Linked DNA regions of Tamandua tetradactyla. The protein of the gene in region 3 interacts with the protein of the main gene of each other region in a pairwise test. Links are inferred from orthologs where the notes say so. Each region holds a gene or a part of one and is shown on either strand. Other genes may lie near its edges. The genes, in order: RFX6, NFKBIA and NEDD9.

What was found.
Region 1: the proteins of NEDD9 (region 3) and RFX6 interact in binary tests that used the Homo sapiens proteins (3 or more experiments, as listed by UniProt). The two-hybrid records come from large-scale screens. The link is inferred for Tamandua tetradactyla from reciprocal best matches to the Homo sapiens genes NEDD9 and RFX6.
Region 2: the proteins of NEDD9 (region 3) and NFKBIA interact in binary tests that used the Homo sapiens proteins (3 or more experiments, as listed by UniProt). The two-hybrid records come from large-scale screens. The link is inferred for Tamandua tetradactyla from reciprocal best matches to the Homo sapiens genes NEDD9 and NFKBIA.

What each region holds. Positions count from the first base shown.
Region 1 is NC_135331.1:177,780,267-177,787,508, reverse strand, and holds the start of RFX6 (DNA-binding protein RFX6), read right to left. Parts: upstream 3,100-7,242; coding exon 2,877-3,099; intron 2,584-2,876; coding exon 2,427-2,583; intron 1-2,426. UniProt on the Homo sapiens protein: Transcription factor required to direct islet cell differentiation during endocrine pancreas development. Specifically required for the differentiation of 4 of the 5 islet cell types and for the production of insulin.
Region 2 is NC_135340.1:18,276,833-18,284,367, reverse strand, and holds the start of NFKBIA (NF-kappa-B inhibitor alpha), read right to left. Parts: upstream 3,047-7,535; 5' UTR 2,946-3,046; coding exon 2,719-2,945; intron 2,060-2,718; coding exon 1,951-2,059; intron 1,606-1,950; coding exon 1,395-1,605; intron 1,110-1,394; coding exon 1,021-1,109; intron 897-1,020; coding exon 636-896; intron 283-635; coding exon 235-282; 3' UTR 1-234. UniProt on the Homo sapiens protein: Inhibits the activity of dimeric NF-kappa-B/REL complexes by trapping REL (RELA/p65 and NFKB1/p50) dimers in the cytoplasm by masking their nuclear localization signals.
Region 3 is NC_135351.1:14,456,204-14,463,260, forward strand, and holds the start of NEDD9 (enhancer of filamentation 1), read right to left. Parts: upstream 3,021-7,057; 5' UTR 2,831-3,020; intron 2,792-2,830; exon of another isoform or gene 2,576-2,791; intron 2,112-2,575; exon of another isoform or gene 951-2,111; intron 1-950. UniProt on the Homo sapiens protein: Scaffolding protein which plays a central coordinating role for tyrosine-kinase-based signaling related to cell adhesion. As a focal adhesion protein, plays a role in embryonic fibroblast migration.

The DNA.
Region 1 (7,242 bases), on a different chromosome or scaffold from region 3:
TCTGTTTCTCCGTTTTTGTTACATGGGCTGGGGCCGGGGATCGAACCGAGGTCCTCCGGCATAGCAGGCAAGCACTTTGCCCGCTGAGCCACCGCGGCCCGCCCATGATTTTTTTTTAAAAGAACTCAACATTCTCAACACCAAGGTTGGTAAAAGCCTACATTCCTTACTTTTCTTCCCTAAAAAGTACTGAACCCCAAATAATTTGATGTAATTATTTGCAAAATACACAAAAATAATTTCACTCAAGTCTGAAATGATACTGATCTATTTCTATCACACTACCTTTTCTGCTGTGATCATTATTATAATACTTAAGGCAACCTGTACACTTAAAAGAAGGTAATTCTCTATAGTTGCCTTCAAATAGGACATATAATTTCAACTTTACATTATGAATATAATTATATGAATTTTAAATTTGAAAAATAATTATATTTAATCTGGATTTCTGCAAATGCAGTTTAAATCAATTCATTAAATATATGTGTGTATGTGTTACAATTATCTGAACAACAATCTAGAAATCAGAACCTTTAGATTTTATTTCGATCTTCTAAAAATTCAATAGGTGAATCTGGCTAAAACTTACTTATGCCCATTTTATGTGTTGTAAAATCATGATAATTATAATATGGAAACAATATAATACGGAGTACACGATCAGATTTAAAATGACGGCACCCTTTAAGATTCCTGATTTAATATATTCTCAATGTGCATAAGATAAACGCTAAAGGAAGTATTCCCTGGGCAGGTAAAACATCAGGTACTCGTCTTCTTTGGGGAAAAAATCAGTAAGACCTAAGGATTTAAAGTATAAAATCAATTTGCATTTATAAAACCAAACATCTTCTTGACAGTGAAAATGAGTTAATCAGCCATATTTTTTCATTCTGGTTTGCAGTTCTAATTGTTAACATCCCCAAAACAATTTATAATTTCAAAGGATGCAAGTATAACACTCACTTTTTTGGAGAGGGTATAGAAAATTACAGCAAAAATTACAGCATTTCATAGTTTCAAAAAGTATGAAAATCACTTTGGGAAATATTCAGTTATTTAAAAATGACATTTTTATAATATACACATAATCCCTACTTTTCACCTATATTAATATTTTTCTAGGCATTGTTTTCATCTTCAAAAAATATATATTTCTAATAAAACATCTTATTGTTCTAAGCATTGCCTATCTTCAAAAATACTAAGTAATCATAAACATGAGTAAAATTTTAAATTTGAGTTTGTCATAATTTTCTTTAAACTTAATGTATGAATATTTATAAAATAAAAACCCAAGATTGTTTCCATTTACTCAATTTGAAATAAAAAAAGGAGTGATTATTCAAAACACCTCCATAATATACCTGAAATCAAAACATTTTGCCCCAGTTATCCTAACAAAAATAGTTTTGTCCTAAATATTCGAGATGATTGGGTCAATTATTTACAGCTCTAGTGTATTCTTAGCGAGTAAACACATCAACTACAATATTTAAGCCATAGCTTTAGAGGAATACTTAAAATATTTCAAAGAGTTCAAGTACATAATCACAAAAAATCAGTGCATGTAAATTTTAATTCAATGTTTAAATAGATAAAAATAAAGTTTACTAGTTTTTGTCAATTTTTTTCTATTATCTTTTTCTAAAGTTCGTATCAGATTTGACATACAAACAGAATATTTAACTCATCAGTGAGTAAATAACACTTTTTATTGATTTGTTGATTTATTTGGGAGGAAATGTATACTCTATTTCTTCACATAATGAGGGAAATCCTTACATTATGTTGTTACTTTAGGTCTTTTTTCCCTTTTAGATCAATATTACAAAATATCCTGTACATAGAGAAAGAGCATACTGATAATCTCTTGTTTTTAAAAGATTTGCTAAAAATCCAATGCATGATATTTCTTTATAACAGCTCATATGTGACAGGTGCTATAAAATAGTTCAACATTTATTTAGTTAATAGTGATATCTAAGCTGATTTTTCTGTCTAGTTTAGATACAATGCATCTTATGATCAATACACTATTTTTAATTTGCCCTCATGAATAAAGTTAAATAAAGGTCCTCTCTCCCTTTATTTTTTTTTCAAATTATGCTTTGTGAATGAGATAACTGCCAAATAACAAACGAAAGGACCAACTGAATGAACGTTCTCATGATGAAGAAAAACCATAAAGTAATGTGGTTCGTATTTATTACAGATAATTTTCGATCAGTTACCAGAATGACTTTATACAAACAAACATATACAAGTTAGTAGGAGAAAAAAGTTTTGAATGAATTTTTCACTGGAGTTTTTAACTTCCCCAAAAGCTTCGAGGGAGAAGCAGATTAGGAAAAGCAAAGGTGCAGACACTGGCTTTTAAAGAGCAACAGGTGCACAGATGTGCCCCCGCGGGACAATCTTACCACTGCAGTGTCAGCTGAGTCTGTTTCTTTTTATCCTTCATAATCTGCGTGATGGTTTTCTTCTGAGAGAGGTGTTGATCGGCTACTTTGGTTTTGCTGTCGTGACTATCTGCATCCTCTTCTTCAGAAGAAAAGTTACCATTGCTTAAATGCATTTCTGATTGTCAGTCGAAAAGATGATGGAGAAAAGCAGAGTACGAAATCAATCAAGTACCCTTTACACATAATTTTGCGTCAGTCATGGGCAGGGGCGCAGCTATGCAAAATCCCCAATAGGTAACAATCTCTAGTTGACATTTTCCTGGGGAAATATAAAGATCTGGACAGAACATTCTGCTTATATGTATGTCTGCACTGTGTATAAGTTTATTATTGGATGCCCTGCTTAGAATACTCTCGCGTCCCAATCACTTCCCCGGGGAGGGGGTGTGTGTGTGTGAAAGCACTCACCTGATTTAACTCCTACCAGCAGCTCCGGATCTTCCTCCTTCTCCCCGCTGCCCAGCGCGCCCCCCGGCTGCGCTTCAGCCTCCAGGTACACCCTTTCCTCGGGGTAGGCGAGCAAGCCCTTACCCAGTAACTGCACACAACACTCCTCCGGCATCTCCCGGGGAACTCCGGGCGAAGGTTGCGCTTGCAGAAAGGCGTCTTCCAGCTCCGGGACCTTGGCCATCCTTCCGGCCACCGGAGACCTCTGCGCCGCCGCCAGCCGGTTCCCCGCGGAGCCCCGAGCCAGAGCCCGGGGCGGGGCGCGGCGGGGGTGGGGACCTGGGGCCACTGGGGTGGGGGAGGAGGCCGGAGGCTCCTGCGCCCAGGTGCGTCGCGGAGGAGGATCGCAGGGCAAGGCTACGGCTCGGATGGCCCTGAAGCCAGAGCGGGTGAGTGCGACCGCCTGCCACTCTCCACCCCTGTGCCGTCTCGACAGCGGCTCAACTCAGAACTCACTTCCTCACCTGCGCCCCAGTCGCGCCCAAGCAATGCAGTCCTTTTCCCCCACACCCTTACCCTCTCCTTCCTCCTCTCTTTTCTTGCTCGGCCGGAGGACACTTTTCATACCCAAGGCCAGATTATCCTAAAAGTTCTACTCTTCTTGCCCGGGGAAGCGCAGCTGAAACTCGCCCCATCGCTACTCTCGAGAAATGCAAATGATGCTCCCGAACGGGTAGCGGTGGCTGTGTGCGCACAGAACAGGGTGCAGAGTTCCGCTCCCTCTGTACGCTGAGTGGCAGGGATTTACTTATTCTCGGAATAACCTAGGGACAGATGAGGGCTCTTTTCAGTGGCTCGAGGATACATTAGAGCCGTAGTGCGGGCGGCAGAGCAGCGCTCGCGGGCGCGGAGAGCACTTCCAGGGCACACAAGGGCTCAAACTCCGGAGTCTCGCCTCTCTCGGGGTTCTGGCCCTGGGCTTGTTGGAAAAGATGCCTTTACCCCCATTTACAATATTTTGTTATTTAAACGGGTCCCTGGAAATGCCTCATCCATCTAGGGATTATGCAACGAACATTTGTTGAAATGAAATTGAAATAATTAATGTCAAGAGTCATGAACATCACTTATGCTCTCTCTAAGAAGGAGCAGTGCGTAGAGTTGGGCCGGGGTTGCCTGACTGCCACACAATCTTTCCTTCCTTCCATTCGTTGTTTCTTCAACAAATCAGCCCTGCGCTTACTCTATGCCGGGCATTCTCCAGGAAAAGCCAGGATCCAGCTTTGGTTCACATTGCCTCACCACAACTTCATCCTGTCATTCATCCTCTCTCTTGCAGCATTAGAAAGACGCTGAATGCAAATTCAGTATCAAACTAGATTACAATGAAATTTAAACTAGAAACAAAAGAGGATCTGATCCAAGGTGGTGGGTGGCTGAAAGGTAAATTATGGGGAAGAATGATACATTCTGTATTCTAAAAATACATTCTAATACATTGCTAAGGTTACCTAAGCAACCAAAATTATGGGTATATCTGAACCTCTCCAATTTTTTTTTTCCGCACCGCTTGTTGGGAAAGGCATTATTTCTCTGTCAAAAGTTTTTCCTTTACCTGGTAACTCTAGCAGTTAGGTCTGGCAGGGTCCACCCACCCATTCACACATCCAGATACCTGAGGCTGTCCAGAGAGCTCTCTCAGGACATGGGGTTAGCTATTTAATACTAAAAAGATAGCTTTAGATTCATTCTGTAAAGCCAGGCCTGGTGATTAACTGCATGATCAGTTATATGGCATAAACAGCAGGAAAATTCTGTTCAGGCAAATTACTAGGATTTTTTTTTAATGTTGTTCACTTGATACCCAGGTTGTTGTGTGTTTGTATTTGTGTGTGTTTGTGTGTGTGTATGTGTAAGCCATACAGACACTAAGTGAATATCTGGCAATTATCCAACTGCATTGGTCAATGGAAATTTAAACCAAGTTCCTTTATGTCCCCAACTGAACTTTTTGCCTTAATTTAAGTAAGTCATCTGCCTAACAAAATAGCATGTAAAGTTCTTTGTGCTTCTATTCAGAAATAGAAAATGTAAATGGGCTTATAATTATAAAAAGATTTCAACTACAAAATAAAATAAAAGCCTCAGATAAGATTAATCTACTGTGAATTTTACCAAATGTTTAAAGAGTGATTTAAAAGAGCTTTAGCTAATTTTCACAAATTTATGACATGCAGCAAAAAACGAAGAGGGAAAAAAGTCATAACCCCAAATTTCCATCTATTATTAATAAATTTAAACTCATGAGAACCGATATTTTAGAGAAGTAATAGTGAATAGTAAAGTCATAACATAGGAAAGTAGGTAAATATGGAGACTGGCCTTTGAAAATTGTGGCTCTTAACCTTTTGTGTTTTGTATTTCCTTTGAGAAATTCGTGTTAGCCATCGACTCTTTCCCTGGGCCGGGGGTGGGGGGGCGAGTTGGAAAGGCACATGAAAAACTCACGTTCAAGCAGGCAAATTTTCACATATGATTTGACAGATCCTAAGTAAAGTATCCCTGACAAAATTGTTTCTATTTTAAGAAAACAGAATAATGATTTCTGAAAGACAATTCTTGGAAGTTCCCAAATGACAATATCTTCATGACTAGAAGTATCATAATAAGGAGAAAGGAATAGGACTTTGGAGTCAGATACATTTGCACTCATTCTTTATGTGATTGCACATTTAGCCTTCTGGCCTAACTTTCCTTCTCTCTAAAATGGAAACAAGAGTACCTATCTGTAGTAGATTTCATGGGTGCTCAGTCCAGACATACCTCTTGATCCCTCTCATCTTCTGAGCACCCCTCTGTCACCATCTAAGAGCACCTCAGGTCCTTCAGAGGAGCTTCCCTTGGCTACCAGACTGCCTTTGCACATAAGCAGAAACAGTCCAAGGGCCTTGGAGTTTATATTCCTTGAGCAACCCTTAGTCAATGACTGATGATTCGGAGGAATTGAAAGCCAGGCTCTTTGTCTTCACAATGAAAATCTGGGGCATCATTTACAATCTAGAGTTCTTCTGTGGGTTCAGGCTGAATCCATCCTCCACTGGACCATTCCTGAAATCCCATCCTTGCTTGGCTTCTTCACCCTCCGTTCCTGCAATGCCTAGTCCCTCACCCATTTCCCTGGGAACACTTCCGTGAAGCATCACCCTTACACATGAATGCTTGATCAGGTTCTGTTGATATTAGACACCACCTTATTCATGATATGAGGATTAAATGAAACATCACAAAGAAGAACTTAGTATAGTACCTGGGACAGAGAAAGCCATTAATAAAATATATCCAATATTTTTACTCCAAAACTTTAGATCCCTTTTAGTTCTCAAAAACAAAGAAATAAAATTTCACTCTTTCATTGCTGAGAAACATCTTTCTCCTTGTCTGCACTATGCCTGGAATTGGTATGGTCTGGAGGAATCATATACTATGAAATTTTCTACCATGAAAGTTCATGCTTCCCCTAATTTTATTTTTATCTACCAAATGAACTTTGCTATTATAGAAAGAACTTCATAGTCTGCCTTATTTTAATAATTTTCATGTTGTTGCTACTTTCAAATAAAAGTAAATTTGGGTTATATAGCTAACAACAGAACTCCAAAATACACAAAGCAAATACTGACAGAATGGAAGGGAGAATTAGACAGTTCAACAATAATAGTTGGAAACTTCAACACCCCACTTTCAATAATGGATAGAACAACTGAATAGAGATAAAAAGGAAATAGAAGATTTATAAGTTATTTAATGGACACCAACGAACACTCCAAATAACAAAAGCAGAATATATATTCTTTTCAAGAATATATGGAACATTTTTCAGGATATATCATATATTAAGCCAAAAAAATAGGCCTCAATAAACATTAAAAGATTAATTTCATACAAAGTGTGTTCTACGATCACAATGGAATGAAATTAGATTTCAATATCAGAAGGAAATTTGGAAAACTAACAAATATGTTGAAATAGAAGAGTACAATATTAGACTACCAATGGGTCAAAGAAGAAATCACAAGAGAAATGAGAAACTACTTTGAGATGAATGAAAGTGAAAATACAATATACCAAACTTTATGGGATGCAATGAAAGCAGTGCTCAGAAGGAAATTTATAGTTGCAAATGCATACATTAAAAAAAAAGAACTCAATCAATAACTTAAACTTCCACCTTAAGAAACCATAAAAAGGGGTACACGGGTGGTTCAGTGGTAGAATACTCGACTTCCATGTGGGAGACCCAGGTTCGATTCCTCAACTGTGCACCTAAAAAAAGAAAAGAAACTATAAAAAGAAGACCAAACAAACCTAGTGCAAACAGAATGAAATA
Region 2 (7,535 bases), on a different chromosome or scaffold from region 3:
CAAAGGTGAAGCTTAATAGGCTTTCTTTGGAGTCCAAGGATTTTTCTTGTCTCACTCATAGAATTCACAAAAATAAAGGCTGATCCACCACAGTAAAATATTTTGGGCCAAGCAGTGGGCAGTGTGGTTTTATGTACACCCTTTGAATTTTTTTCTTTTTTCCTTTTTTTTAGAAAAATAAAGCTCTCCTTTTGTACAAATATACAAGTCCAGGTTCTTTTATACATGTTCCATTTATAATGTCAGCCGCTGGCCTCCAAGCACACAGTCATCATAGGGCAGCTAAAAATGAGAGGGAAGAAAAGCACATTAAACTTCCAGAACTTTAACAAGACGTTGGGAAGACAGTGAGGATTCCTATTGGGAAATAATTTAAGTCTTCTTGGACTCCATTCTCAACAACCCAAAACATAAATGAACTTTGCAGGCTGAGGGAGTTTTTCTTTAATGTTCCTCTCCTCTAAAAAGGTTAAGCTACAAACAGAAAAGACACGCTTCGGGGATAGTGTTATTGCACTCAAGTTTGAGAACTTCATTGTTGAGACTCTGTGATTAAGAGTAGCTCTCGGGGCATGGGAAGGTGACGGGCCCCTCATCTTTTTTGTGGGTGTTGAAGAAGTTCAATGGAGACTCACCTCGTCCTCTGTGAACTCTGACTCCGTGTCATAGCTCTCCTCATCTTCACTCTCTGGCAGCAGCTGAAGGTTCTCCAGGGTCAGCTGGCCCAGCTGCTGCTGTATCCGGGTGCTTGGACGGCCCCAGGTGAGCTGGTAGGGGGAGTAACCCTGGTAGGTAACTCTGTTGACGTCAGCCCCACACTTCAACAAGAGGGACACCAAGTCAGGATTCTGCAGGTCCACTGCAAGGTGGAGGGCAGTCCGGCCATTACAGGGCTCCTGAGACCAAAGAGAATTAAGAGATGCTTACAGCTGAATTTGGGATTTCTGCTTGCAAGAAGTCTTATTCAGGAAAGGGGCTCTAAAGCCGGACTCACTCCATCTGGGAGCAGGAAGCACTCACCTGAGCATTGACATCAGCACCCAAAGACACCAAGAGCTCCACGATGCCCAGGTAGCCATGGATAGAGGCTAAGTGTAGACACGTGTGACCTAGAAGAACAAAAGGAAAAAAGTTTAACCATTTGTTTCAAGCCTCACACCTCAAACAGAACCTTCCACTTATTCTTTTAAGGGACAATCAGCCATGTCTTCTAAATTTGAAGGATCTCGAATTTGGGGTCTGAATTAACATTATAAAGGCATCAAATAGTGGGTCTATTCTCTCAAACTTTCTCATGTTGAGAGTTTAGGGTCTCACCAGGACTCAGACTGTTGGCCCACCTCCCCCCTCCTCCATGCCACCCGTCCCCTGGCGGGGCAGGCCGACTCGCGTACCATTGTAGTTGGTGGCCTGCAGGATGGAGTGGAGGTGCTGGGCCTGGCAGCTCTGCGTCAGGACTCCCACGCTGGCCAGGCAGCCCTGCTCACAGGCAAGGTGCAGGGGGGTATTTCCTCGAAAGTCTCGAAGCTCAGGATCACAGCCAGCTTGCAAAAGAGCCTCAGCAATTTCTGGCTGGTTAGTGATCACAGCCAAATGGAGTGGAGTCTACAAAAATAAAAAGGAATAGAAACAGAATAAACCATGGGCCAAACCTGCAGTCAGGGTCTCCTGAAACCCCAGGCCCCTCCCAGTGGTGGGTGCTGCTCCTCCCAGACAGGCCAAGGGGCGAGGAAAACACCAGAGGCCCCAGGTGGACTCTAAATCACCCAGTCCATGGGATATGCTTTTCTCTGTTGGATATTTGCTGATTAAAATGTAAAAGGCCGGGGCCTTTAAAGATCAGTGACTGTTGGTTTAGAAAGGATTTGGTGGCAATTGTGTCAGGGCCAATTTGTCAATCCAGCTCCATCACAGGGTCAGAAAGGGCCCCGGGCTAGGCGAGCAGCGCACCTGCTGCAGGTTGTTCTGGAAGTTGAGGAACGCCAGGTCCCCCTTCACTTGGCGGATCACTTCCACCGTCAGGGCCTTCTCTTCATGAATGATGGCCAAGTGCAGGAACCTGAGGGGAAGAGAGGGGGAAAAAAAACCAGGGGGTGATGAGTGCACCGTGTGGGGCCCAGGGAGGTGCGGGCTGCGGGGGATTGCGCAAGGCCGGGGTTTCTGGAGGCCGAGGCCGCGGTGTTTTCCGCGAGGTTATTATGAGCTGAGTGTTCCTGGCAGGCGCCCAGGGACTTTCCGGGCCCCCCCTTCCTCCTCCTCGGCGGGCGCCGGCCAGACCGCCCCGCCCTCGCGCCGGCCCGGAACGCCCTGTACTTCCCCTCGGGGCTGCGAGGCGCCTGCCAGCGGGGCAGAAAGTCCTGCCCACCCAGCCCCCCCACCCCTTATGCAACCCAGGACTTCGCGTCCCCGCCGCCGCCCCGCCCCCGGCCCCGAGGCCCGAGCCTCCAGGAGGAGGGGGGAGGGGAAGGGGAGGAGGCAGAGGAGGGGGGGCGTGTGAGGAAACGCCGGAGCGCGTCGCCGAGCTGCAGCCGGGCCCGCGAGCCCCAAGCCCAGCCCTCCCCCCGCCGCGCAGACGTGCAGCTCCGAACGTTTTCGCGGTCGGTGCCCGAGCCCCGGGGTCGCTGCCGCGCCCCTGCCCTGCTGCGCCGCGGCCCCGGCGGCTCCCGCTGCAGGCCCGGCGCGCACCCACCCTCCCCACCCCGGCTCGGCCACACTTACGAGTCTCCGTCCTCCGTGAGCTGCTGCTTCCAAGGCTCGGCCCCGCGCGGCGCCTCCTGAGGCTCGAGGCGGATCTCGCGCAGCTCCTTCACCATCTGCTCGTACTCCTCGTCCTTCATGGAGTCCAGGCCGCTGTCGTGGCGGTCGTCCAGCAGCCGCTCCTTCTTCAGCCCGTCCCGGGGGCCCTCCATGGCCCACGCCTGGGCGTGCTCGGCGGGCTGGAACATGGCGCGGGTTCCGTCTCCAGGCGCGGCTCCCCAGGTGCGCTCGGCCACGGGCTGCGCGCCTCCTCGCAGTGTCGCTGGCGGCTGGGGCTGCGGACTAGCACTGTTGTGGCTCGGCAGCGCCGCCCCGGCGCCCTATAAGCGCTGGCAGGGGATTTCTCCGGGGCGGGGTCAGGCGCGGGGAATTTCCAAGCCAGTCAGACCAGAAATGAGAACTGGCCCCATTCTATGCTGGGGGGGAAAAAAAGAAGCCTAAACCCTGTGCTGGGGTTCAACAGAGAAACTCCCTGCGATGAGCCACTGGGGTCATATACAGGGAACTTTTTGATGAGCGCTGGGTGGCTGGAAAGTCCTTCTGACAAGGGCCCCTCCCCCCAGGTACTTCCCTGCAGTCTGCACTCAGTAATTCTGTCCTCTGCAAAAATCCTTCTTTCCCTGGGGTTTCCCTTGATTTATTCGACTTAGGGTCGTCTGCGCTGCGATCCCCAGGACGCAGACCCGTTGGGCGGATCCACACCGGTGTTTGCCAACCTGCAGGGCCTTTCCGTTTTTTGCTCTTTTGAAAACCCAAGAGTGGAAATGATGGCTGGGTGTAGGGATTCGCTTCCCCAAAATTCAGTCTGCGGGGAAGGGCGGTCAGGTGGTTAGGTCGCGGGCCGTACTGTGTTCCTGCCAATACCAGGAACGCTGTGCCTCTTTGCAGAGCAGAGGCATTTAGCTTTTCCTGCCTTCCCAGGTAAAAATTGTGAAAGCTTTGGCCTTAAACCTAAATACTTGGAAAGCCCTCAAATCATTTCCTTGGGACTGTTAATCCTGTTGACTGGGGAAGGGGCAAGCACTCCTGCCCCTCTTTCTGGAAAGTGCAATATATAATCATAATTCATTTGAAGTAAGGCAAGTTGTGAATCTGTGCAGGAGGAGTTATAGATTTGCTATAAGAAATAACCAGTGAGGTCTCTTTCTTTCATTTGCATTGTGCAACTGCAGGGAATAGGCCCAGAACCTTCTACTGGGTGCCTGATGGGCAATTTCCCTGGAGCATTTGAAGAAGGATGCTGAAGCATGAGTTTAGCAGCGTCTTACCCAAGGTTGGACCATAAGGACCACCACAAAAGTAGCTGCTAGCTAGCGTGTATGGGGCTCAAGGCAGCCCCAACACTACCCCGCTGGTGCCCTTGCTTGCTACTCTTGACCTGGGGGGTGACACAGCTGGACCTACCCATACAGTGTGGGTAGCCACACAGAAGGGAAAGGGATTTGGGCTCACCATCCTCTGGTTTCAACTGCAAATATAGAAACTTACTCTATCTGTCCCTATCCCCACCTCCAAGTCAGCAAGCCATAAATTGAATTCATGTGCTTATAGAATTGCCCAGGCAAAAGAAAACAGTTTAGGTCAGAGGTCTTGAGAATTAGCCCCGGGGGGGTGGGGGGGGGGTGGGGTGGGTTCTACAGTTCTGCAGAGCTTTCTGGTGATTACTGCAATCATCTTTGCCTTGACTGGCCATTACTGTGAAACTTTCCCCCTGTCCACATCTCACCCCCACCCCCAACATGCCAATGTGGGGAATCTGGGTCAATGGGGTTGAGAGAGGAAATCTGAGGGGACAAAAAGTAAAATCAAGAAATAAAGCCTTCAGAGTGGCAATGATAATATATTAAAATGAAAACTGTCAGGATAGACTACATCCTCTCTGCAGGCATTTGATATGCAAATATACAATTCTTGAGGCAAAGTGGAATAGAGACTAAAAATAGGGCATCTCAACCCCAGGCTCTGCCTCTAATTAACTGTATGTTACTTTGGTAGATAGTTAACTATTCAGTAGCATACATGCTTTTAAAATAATAAGATTGGGTTTAATGCTATTTAGGGTTTTTTCCAGCTTAATAAACTATATTATGTCGCCACAAATGCATCTCTAACCCTGATTTGTAAGGGAGACCCTAGCTCTTGGCATATTGTGGTATAAATTTTTGTAAGGACTCCAACACTTTATGTATCACATTGTTAATCCTAAAAAGAAACTGAAATAAAGAGAAATTTACCCAGACATCCCATGGTAGTTTACCTAATTTCTATCCCAATATATTAACCATTTAGCAAAGCAGTCATAGTATTAACAATTTTGAAGACACATTGTGAAAATGAGACTGAATATACTATAATTTGGAAGTTACTCGAGTATTTTCTGCTCCAACTGTTAGGTAAAACAGAGGGTAGGTGTTCCCCTAGCTGGGAACAGTAACTTCTTTAAAAAAAAAAAAAGCTATAGAAATGGCAAACACTAAATGCCCTATTTACAAAGTATATCTTAGAAGAGGATTTTTAGCTAAAGAGTTAAAAATATGAATTATAGGTCTCATATTTAGAAAGTAAAAAGAGAATTATAGGTGTCCCCACAGAAGCTTTGAACAACCAGCAAGATCTAGTGGAAAATAGTTAAAGGACTGTAGAAACAGGATGAGCACTGAATCAAGAAAAAGGCAATTTAAGAGCCTAGAATCTCTTGGTATCCTGGCTGGCCACCTTCCCAGCCCTCACCAACTTGGCTCTGAGCCAGCCCATCCTCCCAGGGCGTGGATGCTTAGTCCCAGTTTCAGAGGGAGCAGAGTTAACGCTTGTGCACATACTCAGAACCTGTAGGTCTGGCACAGTTTGGTGGTGTCCCAGAACTTGCCCTGAGCGAAGAAGCAGCATGTGGAGCTCTCCTACAACATACTATGGGCAGCCAATAAAGCCATGGACCTGGGGCAAAGGATTGCTGGTTGGAGGCTTGGGGCAAAGGTTTGCTGGCTTTAGGACATACAGAGCTGTGCCTGGGACTCTGAGGAGGCTCTTTCCTAGGGAAGAGGGGACATTGTATCTGTGTAAACAGGGAAATTCCTAGGGCCACATGACCGTGGGTAGAAAGGAAGGAGGTTGCATGCTTTGGCCTGGAGCTATTCACTAAATTCTTTGTATAGATAAGCATTGAAGAAAAAGCACTCATAGAGGTCAATCTGTAAAGACTAGGAAAAGTGTTTTCTTTTTTTTCCCCGTCTTTTATTTTTTCCCTTAGCCCTGGCATTTAAAGAAAGCTCTATCATTATGCTAGCTGGATCCAAGCTTAAGGAAATAGATGCCTCAGAGTCTAAATTCCAGTGATAACACCTTAAAGCATTAAATGCCCAGGTTCCAACCAAAGATTATAAAACATACAAAGGAATAGGAAGTGATGTCCTAGGCAAAGGAGAAAATTAAGGTATTAGAAATCATCAATGAGGATGACCAGACCTGTGACATACTAGACAAAGTCTTTTAAAAAATGTCCTAAAAATGCTCAAAGAGCTGAAGGAAAACATGAACAAAGAACTTAAAAAATCAGAAAAATGACAGATGAGCACAAAGAGATTATCAATAGAGAGATAGAAATTGTGAAAAGGAATAAAATAGAGCTGAAGACCCCAATAACAGAAATTTATAATTTCCTGGAGGGGTTCAACAGCAGATTGGGAGTGGTAGAAGAAAGAATCCATGAACTTGAAGACAATTGAAATCATTCTATCTGAGGAGCAGAAAGAAGAAAGAAAAATGAACAAAGCCTAAGGAACCTGTGGAACACCTTTAAGTCTACCAATATATTCATTGTGGAAGTTCCAGAAGAAGACGGAGAAAAAGGGGCAGAGAGAATATTCAAAGAAATAATGGCTGAGAACTTCCCAAATTTAATGAAAGACATGAACATACTATCCAAGACACTCAACAAACTCCAGATAGGATAAACCCCAATAGACCCACACTGCATTATATTATAATCAAACTGTTAAATGCCAAAGATAGTGGATTCTGAAAGCCTCAAGAGAAAAGCTATTTGTCACATATAAGGGAACCTCAATGAGATTACGTGCGGATTTCTCATCAGAAACCTTGGCAGCAAGAAGGCATTGGGATGACTTAGTTAAAATACTGAGAGCAAATAATTGCCAGTGAAGAATTCTATACCCAGCAAAACTGTCTTTCAAAAGGGAGCAGTTAAGACATTTCCAGATAAACAACAGCTGGAGGAGTTCGTCACCACAAGACCAGCACCACAAGAGATGCTAAAGAGAGTTCTGCAGCTTAAAAAGACAGGACAATAGGCAATTGATCAAAGCCATATGAAGAGATTAAGATCTCCAATGAGGGTAATGACATGAGTACATATAAATGCCAGTACTATCGTATTTTTGGTTTGTAAGTCCACTTTTTGCTTTCTACAGAATTTAAAAGGCAAATTCATAAAACATAAAGAGAAATCAGTGGTTTAAGACATAATGTAAAAACATTTCATTTGTGACAGGAACTACAAAATGTGGAGAGACAGAGAGCTATAGAAATATAATTTGTGTATATATTGAAGTTAGGTCGGTATCAAAGCAAATGAGATTGTTCCAGATTTAAGATGTTAAATTTAAGCTCCTTGGTAACACAAAGAAAATATCGGAGAATATACATACTCGTAGAGTACAGAGTGCCAGGGACAGGGAGCAGGGGAAATGGGGAGTTAATTTAAAATGTGTATAGGGTTTCTGCTTTGGGATATAAGAATGTTTTAGTAATAGAAGGTGGTG
Region 3 (7,057 bases):
CCCCACTCTCCTTTCCATTCCACCACCAAGCCCTGTTGATTTTCCTTTCTAAATGACTTAGTTTGTCCACTTCTGTTCCCACTGCCACCACCCCGGTCTATTTTCTCGTTAGACACTCTTGTTTGGATGACTACATCAAGCTTATACCTGGCTTCCCTGCTTCAGAATTGGTCGCTCCCATTCATCCCTTAAGAATGCCGATCATGTGGAGAAATTGGGACATTTACGCACTGCTGGTGGGAATGTATAATGGTGCAGTCACTGTGGAGGACAGTTTGGCAGTTCCTCAAAAAACCAAATATTGAGTTGCCCTATGACCTGTTAATACCAATACTCAATATATACCCAGAAGAGCTGAAAACAATGTCATAAACCAACACTTGTACACCGATATTCATAGCAGCAGCATTCACAATTGCCAAAAGATGGAAACAACCCAAGCGCACATCAACAGACAAGTGGGTAAACAAAATGTGATATATTCATATGATGGAATAGTATGCAGCCGCAAGGTGAAATGAGGTCCTGAAGCACATGACAACATGGATGAACCCTGAGGACATAGCACTGGGTGAAATAATCCTGACACAAAAGGATAGAGATTGTGTGATTTCACTAATATGAACCCCCTAGAAAATGTAAGCTCAGAGTTTTAAAAAGTAGAATATAGGAAACCTACAGATAGACAGAAGTTAGAGAAAGAGGAAGCAGTTACCTAATATATTCAGACTTGTTAATGAGGTTAAACTTAAATGTGTGGGAATGGATGGAGGTGATGGTAATTCATTAGTGGGATTATAACTGAAGGTGAATATGATTGAAAGGGGTTGTTTAGAGCCATGTGTCCCACTGATTAATACTACAAATAGAAATAAGCTCTTGCATGAAAAAAAAAAGGGAAAGGAATACAGATCAGAGCCCAACAGCCCCACCTTCTCCGCCTCTTTCAGAACACTCTGGCTCTACCGTCTTGCATAGCGTGGTCCAAGCTCACCCAGGATCATCTTGAGCTCACCCAGGATCACCCTATTCTTCAATCTTGCACCTCATGGGCCTTAATTTTGTCAGACTCTTCTGCGATCTCCTACCTCAGGGCTTTGCTTCAGCTGTTTTCTGTGCCTGGAGCACAAGCCCACACCTTGCCTTGTTTAACATCTAGTTTGGATGTGAAGACAAGACTGGAAAAGTCGCCTTTTCCAGTTCTCATCTCTGTGTTCTCTGGAAACCTCCCTGACTCCCCGAGGAGACCACATCCCCCTGCAATACGTCACAGTTTAAAATGATACATTTTTGTAATGATTTATTAATGTCTGTCTCTTCCCTGGACTCTAAGCTTTTGGCAGGCAGGAGCAAAGTTAGGTTTTGTCCCTCTTACATAAGTTTTGACTTAGTGACAGCCGTAGTGCTGACTCTGTTGAAAATTATTAAATAACTCACTGAACTAATTAACAAGAACTGGTGGCACTCTCATTCAAAATTGATTTCATATCCCTCTGTTTCCACTGTTCCACTTTGCCCCATTCTTAGAACAGGAATATCGTTGAAATTAACAAAGCTTGGAGGAAAAAGGAAACAAGGAGGAAAATCACTTAGTGGGTCTCCAGGGCTCTGTCAAGGAGAGTACACCCACTTCTGGGTGGGAAAGAAGCTTCCAGGGCTGGGGGGGCCGGAGAGTGGAAAGGAGGGGCTTCCCGAACAGGGGTTGAACAGACTAGAAGCATTCACTCTCACCTCACCTCTAGCAGAGGGAAAAGATTGCTCACCAGTCTCCACAGAGCTTTAAGCTATATATAGAATGAATTTCCCCTCTTAAAGTAATACACATTATTCATTTTAAAGTAATTTCAGCAAGGGAAAGATGTTGTCTCACATACTTTGTGAAGATCCATAGAGACTAAAGAGACATAAATATGGTGTGGCATCCTGAAACGGGAGAGAGACATTCGTGGAAAAACTGATGAAATCCTAATAAAGTCTGTGGTTGAGGTAATTATCAACGTGAGTTTCTTAGTTTTCACGGTTGTATAGCGTATTAGCATAAGGGAAAGCTGCGTAAAGAGTATATGGGAATCCGCTGCATTATCTTTGCAATTTTTCTGTAAATCTAAAATTATTCCAAAAACAAAGTTTATTCTTTATCTTATAAATATAAAGACTATTACATATAAATTATACAATATTATATATATCCTTTGTGGAAGACAATTGAATGAATGAATGATGAATTAATATAGAGAAAAACAAAAGTGAAGTTGTTGGAGTGGCCCTGTGCGAAGAGGAAGAACATGGGGTCGTTTGTCCCTGCCCCTGACAATCAAGTCTCAGCACAGCTGGGCACACACACAGAGCCCAACCCTCAATCCCCATCTCTTGCTCTTAAGAGTCACCCCGTGAGAGACTGAAAATGATGTCATGACTCTATTTCAGCCTTAAGTGTAAATGACTATTCACACTGTGAAGTCCTGAAATAACTTGGGGAAGAGTAAAGAGCTAAAGCTCATTCATTGCAGGTAAGACCTCTGAGGACAGAAGGAAGAGGGGAGGAGTCACACTTTGAACACCAGGAAGCACCTACCTGGGATGATTAAAAAGTAAAAATTCTGCAAGTTTGCAGCTGCATTGAAAACCACTGCCTCCAAATCGCTTGGAAGTTGAGCTGAAGTCATCCTTTCCTCCTTTGGGGCATGTTGAGTCCCTCTCTGCCCTGATTAGAGGGTGCTAACAGCAAGGAACTCCCCCAGATGTCTGACACCAACTCAGGAAGTAGCAGAGTCTGAGCAAGTTTGCCCTCCCCCAAGCCTGTGGCCACAACGAGTGGCTGAGAACTCACCCTGGAGCTGAACCATAGTTGCTGGACCATTTTGTCTCTGTGGTGTCTTGGTCCTCTCTCTGGGCAGACCGGCGGATGACAGCTCAGCTCTGCTGCACGGTTATGCCTCTCTGCTGCTGCTGCAGCCAGACTTGCTGCTAAAGACAGCTGTTAGCATTTCCCTACTGAACAACCACAAACGGGCGATGTGAGTGGCGAATGCCTGTGTATGCTTTTCCTTCCGGTTGCTGTGAAGTGATGTTGTCTCCGTTTATTTCCTCTCTGTGCCTCTTCTTTATTTTTATCTCTGCCAGAACTTCTGAGTCGCTCAAGTTGTAGAAGCTTTGTAGTTTAGAGGCAGGTAAGAACTCTAGTTCTCATCTGCACCATTTTCCATTTTTAGAATGATCATTGATCTTTGAATTATAGTTGCGATGAAAGTCTGTGGAATCTATTTTCTAGGTGGCATGAACTCTTTTCTAGGCTACACTGAGGCAAAAATGAGACTATTTCCAAGCCAATCGAATTGGGAATTTGTGGTTTTTACAGACTCAATATGTGTCTGGGGCTTCTACTCTAAATTGACATGGAACATTCTTTCATTGGACAAATAAGTTCCTAACTTAACAGATTGTTGTGAGAATTAAATGAATTAATGTATGTCAAGCACGTAAAGGTGCTTGGAACAAACAAGTAAGAATTTGTCTTAGATTGTCAGGCTGCTATGTCAAATACCACACAATGCGTTGGCTTAATGGACATGAATTTATTGGCTCATGGGTTTGGAGACTAGAAGTCAAAATCAAGAACTCAGCACACCATGCTTTCACTTGGAGTCTATAATGGTCTTGTGCTATGTGGTCTCCTTGGGGGTCTTTGGCTTGCATCTCTACCTCCCATCACCTGGCAACCCCCCTTCTGGGTCTCCTCTTGTGGCTTTCTCTGACAGACTGCATCCGAATTCCCCTGCCTTATAAAGCCTCCAGTCATATGGATTAAGTCCCATTCTAAATCAGTTTAGCCTCATCTAAATAGGTCCTTTAAAGATCCTAGGCACAACTGAGTCCATACCTTAACGAATAGTAATATCTTCTAACGTCCTATTCACAAAGGGGTTCAAAGCCACAGGAACACAAGATTGCAACTTGAACACACCCTTTTGGAAGCATGATTCAATCGCCAACCAGCTCTATATGAGTTTGCTATTATGATTACTAGCAAAATATTGTCAGCTCAGACCTTTGCTTTTCCCATCCCTTCCCCATTTCCTACCCCTTGTTGGTGTCTAGGGAGAGTGATTCCAGGGTGTAGATGACCTGAGAGGGTCTTCTACACCACACAGTTGAAAAAGCAGAAGAATTGAGACGCAGAGAACCAGAGACCAGCCAGCTAATGCAAACAGCTTAGCACGTCCATTGCCAGACAAAGGCCCAGAGTCATCAAGAGTGCGTGGACAAGGAGATGGAGAGGAGGAAATAAGCCGAGCAGCGAGCCTTGGACGCATTACCCTCACTCGTGACACCTCCGTCCCACACCCCCCAACTCCCCCCAACTTCACACACCTGAGCCCCGTTACCCAACCTCGGCCAAGCCCCAAGCACCCCTGCTCTCGACCCCCACCCCGTGCATGCGCAGAATTCTGTCCCAGCCCACCCCACCTCTCGCACGCAAGCACACAGTGTTGCCCCACCCCTCCTGAGACCCACGTACCTGTGGTCAGCCCCTGGACCCCCACCTCCCCCCTGCAGGCAGTCAACTGCGCATTCGGGCTGCAGGCGCTCACCTTCAGACCCAGGCCACATCCACACTCAGCCCATCCAGTCATGCAACTCCACCCCAGCCCCCTGAGCTTCGTGCACGCGCACGTCAGCCTCTGGCCCCGCAGATGCATGCAGGCTCGTACTACCACTCAGGCCATGCCTCCTCAGCTCTGGGCAAGTGCTGACCTAAGCATCAGGGCCGCAAGCAGGCATCATCTCATGCCAGTGGCCCTGAGCTCTGCCCACATGCACACCAGTGCCCTGCTCCCCAGACAGGAGCATTTCAGGGCCCTGCCCCCCAGATACACACACCGGCACAGCCAGTTTCTCCCATGCTGGGCACTCACGTGACCCCTGCACCTCACTCCCCTTGCCTCATACATGTGCACAACCTTGCCCCACCCCACATGCCCTTCTCCCACATTTGGCAGGTCCTCTCCAACACATCTGTGCTACATAGCCTCCGCCCTGCACTAGCAAGCACCTGTACCCCACCCCACCTCTGCACCTACACACCCGCACCAGGGACCCCCATCATCACCCACCAAACACACATGTCCCGCAACCTCCAGGACCTGTACCCTGCCCCTACGCACTTGCACATCCACATCCTGGCCCCCCTGGACCTCTCTCTCTGTGCAAGGACACATCTGCATTCCAACCTCCTTGTGCCCCGACTTGTTCCCTGTATCCTACACCTGACACCCATGACCCACATGCTTCACGTGCCTACCTGCATCCTGTCCACTTATCAACCCTCATGCATCCACTCAGACCCCCCCATCTGCCGCCTGCTGTGCCCTACCTCTGTGTCCGCCAAGTTGCGCCCTGCTCCTGCACTCCGAGAACTGCCTGACCTGCACCTCACCCCCACAACCCCTGCAACATATGACCACATCACTGTGACCCACAGCCCATGCTCACAGATACCAGTGTAGAGTCCTGTACCCGTGCATATACCTGCACCGCAACCCATCACCGCACTGTTGTGGCCCTCCCCAAACCCCACATCTTGCTCTGCACCTGTCCTGCAAATACAAAGCTTGAGACTACTAAAAGAAATCAACATCCAAAGTAACCCTATTAAGATATTTACATGCCATGAAGACAACAGAAGATCACTAATCATATGAAGATGCAGACAGAGCCCAGTTTAATGACCAAATTAAAACATGGAGGAGACACAGACTTTGGAACAACTAATCAAAGATGTTCATATAACTTTACTAAATAAAATCAGTGGTATGGTTAATAACATAAAAGAAATCAAGAAGACACTAGAAGATTGTAAAGAGGAATTTGAAAGAATAAATAGAGCAATAGCAAATGTCACAGAGGTTAAAGATACTGTAGACCAAATAAAAAATATACTTAGAGACACACAACAGCAGATTTGAAAAAGCAAAAGAAAGAATAAGTATACTAGAAGACAGGACAACTGATTTTGAATGCGCAAAAGAGAAAATGACAAAAAATCATGGAAAAATTTGAATTGGATCTAAAGGAAATGACAGACAAAATGCAGCACACAAATATAAGAATCATTGGTGTCCCAGAAGGAGAAGAGAAGAGTAGAGGGCTAGGAAGAGTAGTTGAAGATATAATGGGGAAAATCTTCCCAACCTGTATAAAAGATATAAAAATGCAAATCAGAGAAGCCCAATGAACATCAAATAGAATAAATCCAAATAGGCCTTCTACAAAACACATACTTATCAGTCTGTTAAATGTTGAAGAGAAGTAGAAAATCTTGAAAGCAGCAAGAGAAAAACAATCTACTACATACAAGGGAAACCACGTAAGACAGTTGGAACTACTCAACTAGCACTATGGAGGCGAGAAGGCAGTGGTGTGATACATTTAATATCCTGAAAGAGAAAGACTTCCAGCCAAGAATTCTGTACCCACCCAAACTGTTCTTCAAAAGTGAGGCAAAGATTAAAATTTTCACAAACAAATCCTGAAAGAGTATGTCAACAAGAGTCCAGCTCTACAAGAAATACTAAAAGGAGTTCTGCCAGCTGAAAAAAAAAAAAAAAGACAAGAAAGAGAGGTCTGGAGGAGAGCACAGAATTGAAGAGTACCAGTAAGGGTAACCTAAATGATAAAAAGAGAAAGAAGGAAATGAACAAATAGATCTGATAAATAAAATCCAAAGAATAAGATGGTGGATTCAAGAAGTGCTTTTGCAGTAATAACTTTGAATGTTAATGAACTAAACTTACCAATTAAAAGATACAGATTGGTAGAATGGATTAAGAAATATAATCAAGCTATATGTTGCTTACAAGAGACTCGCCTTAGAACTGAGGATACAAATACATTGAAAGTGAAGGAATGGAAAAAGATATTCACACAAGCTGTAACCAAAAGAAAGCAGGGATAGGAATACTAATATCAGACAAAATAGACTTTAAATGTAAAGACATCATAAGAGACAAAAAAAGGGCACTGTATAGAACTAAAAGGGGCAATTAATCAAGAAGAA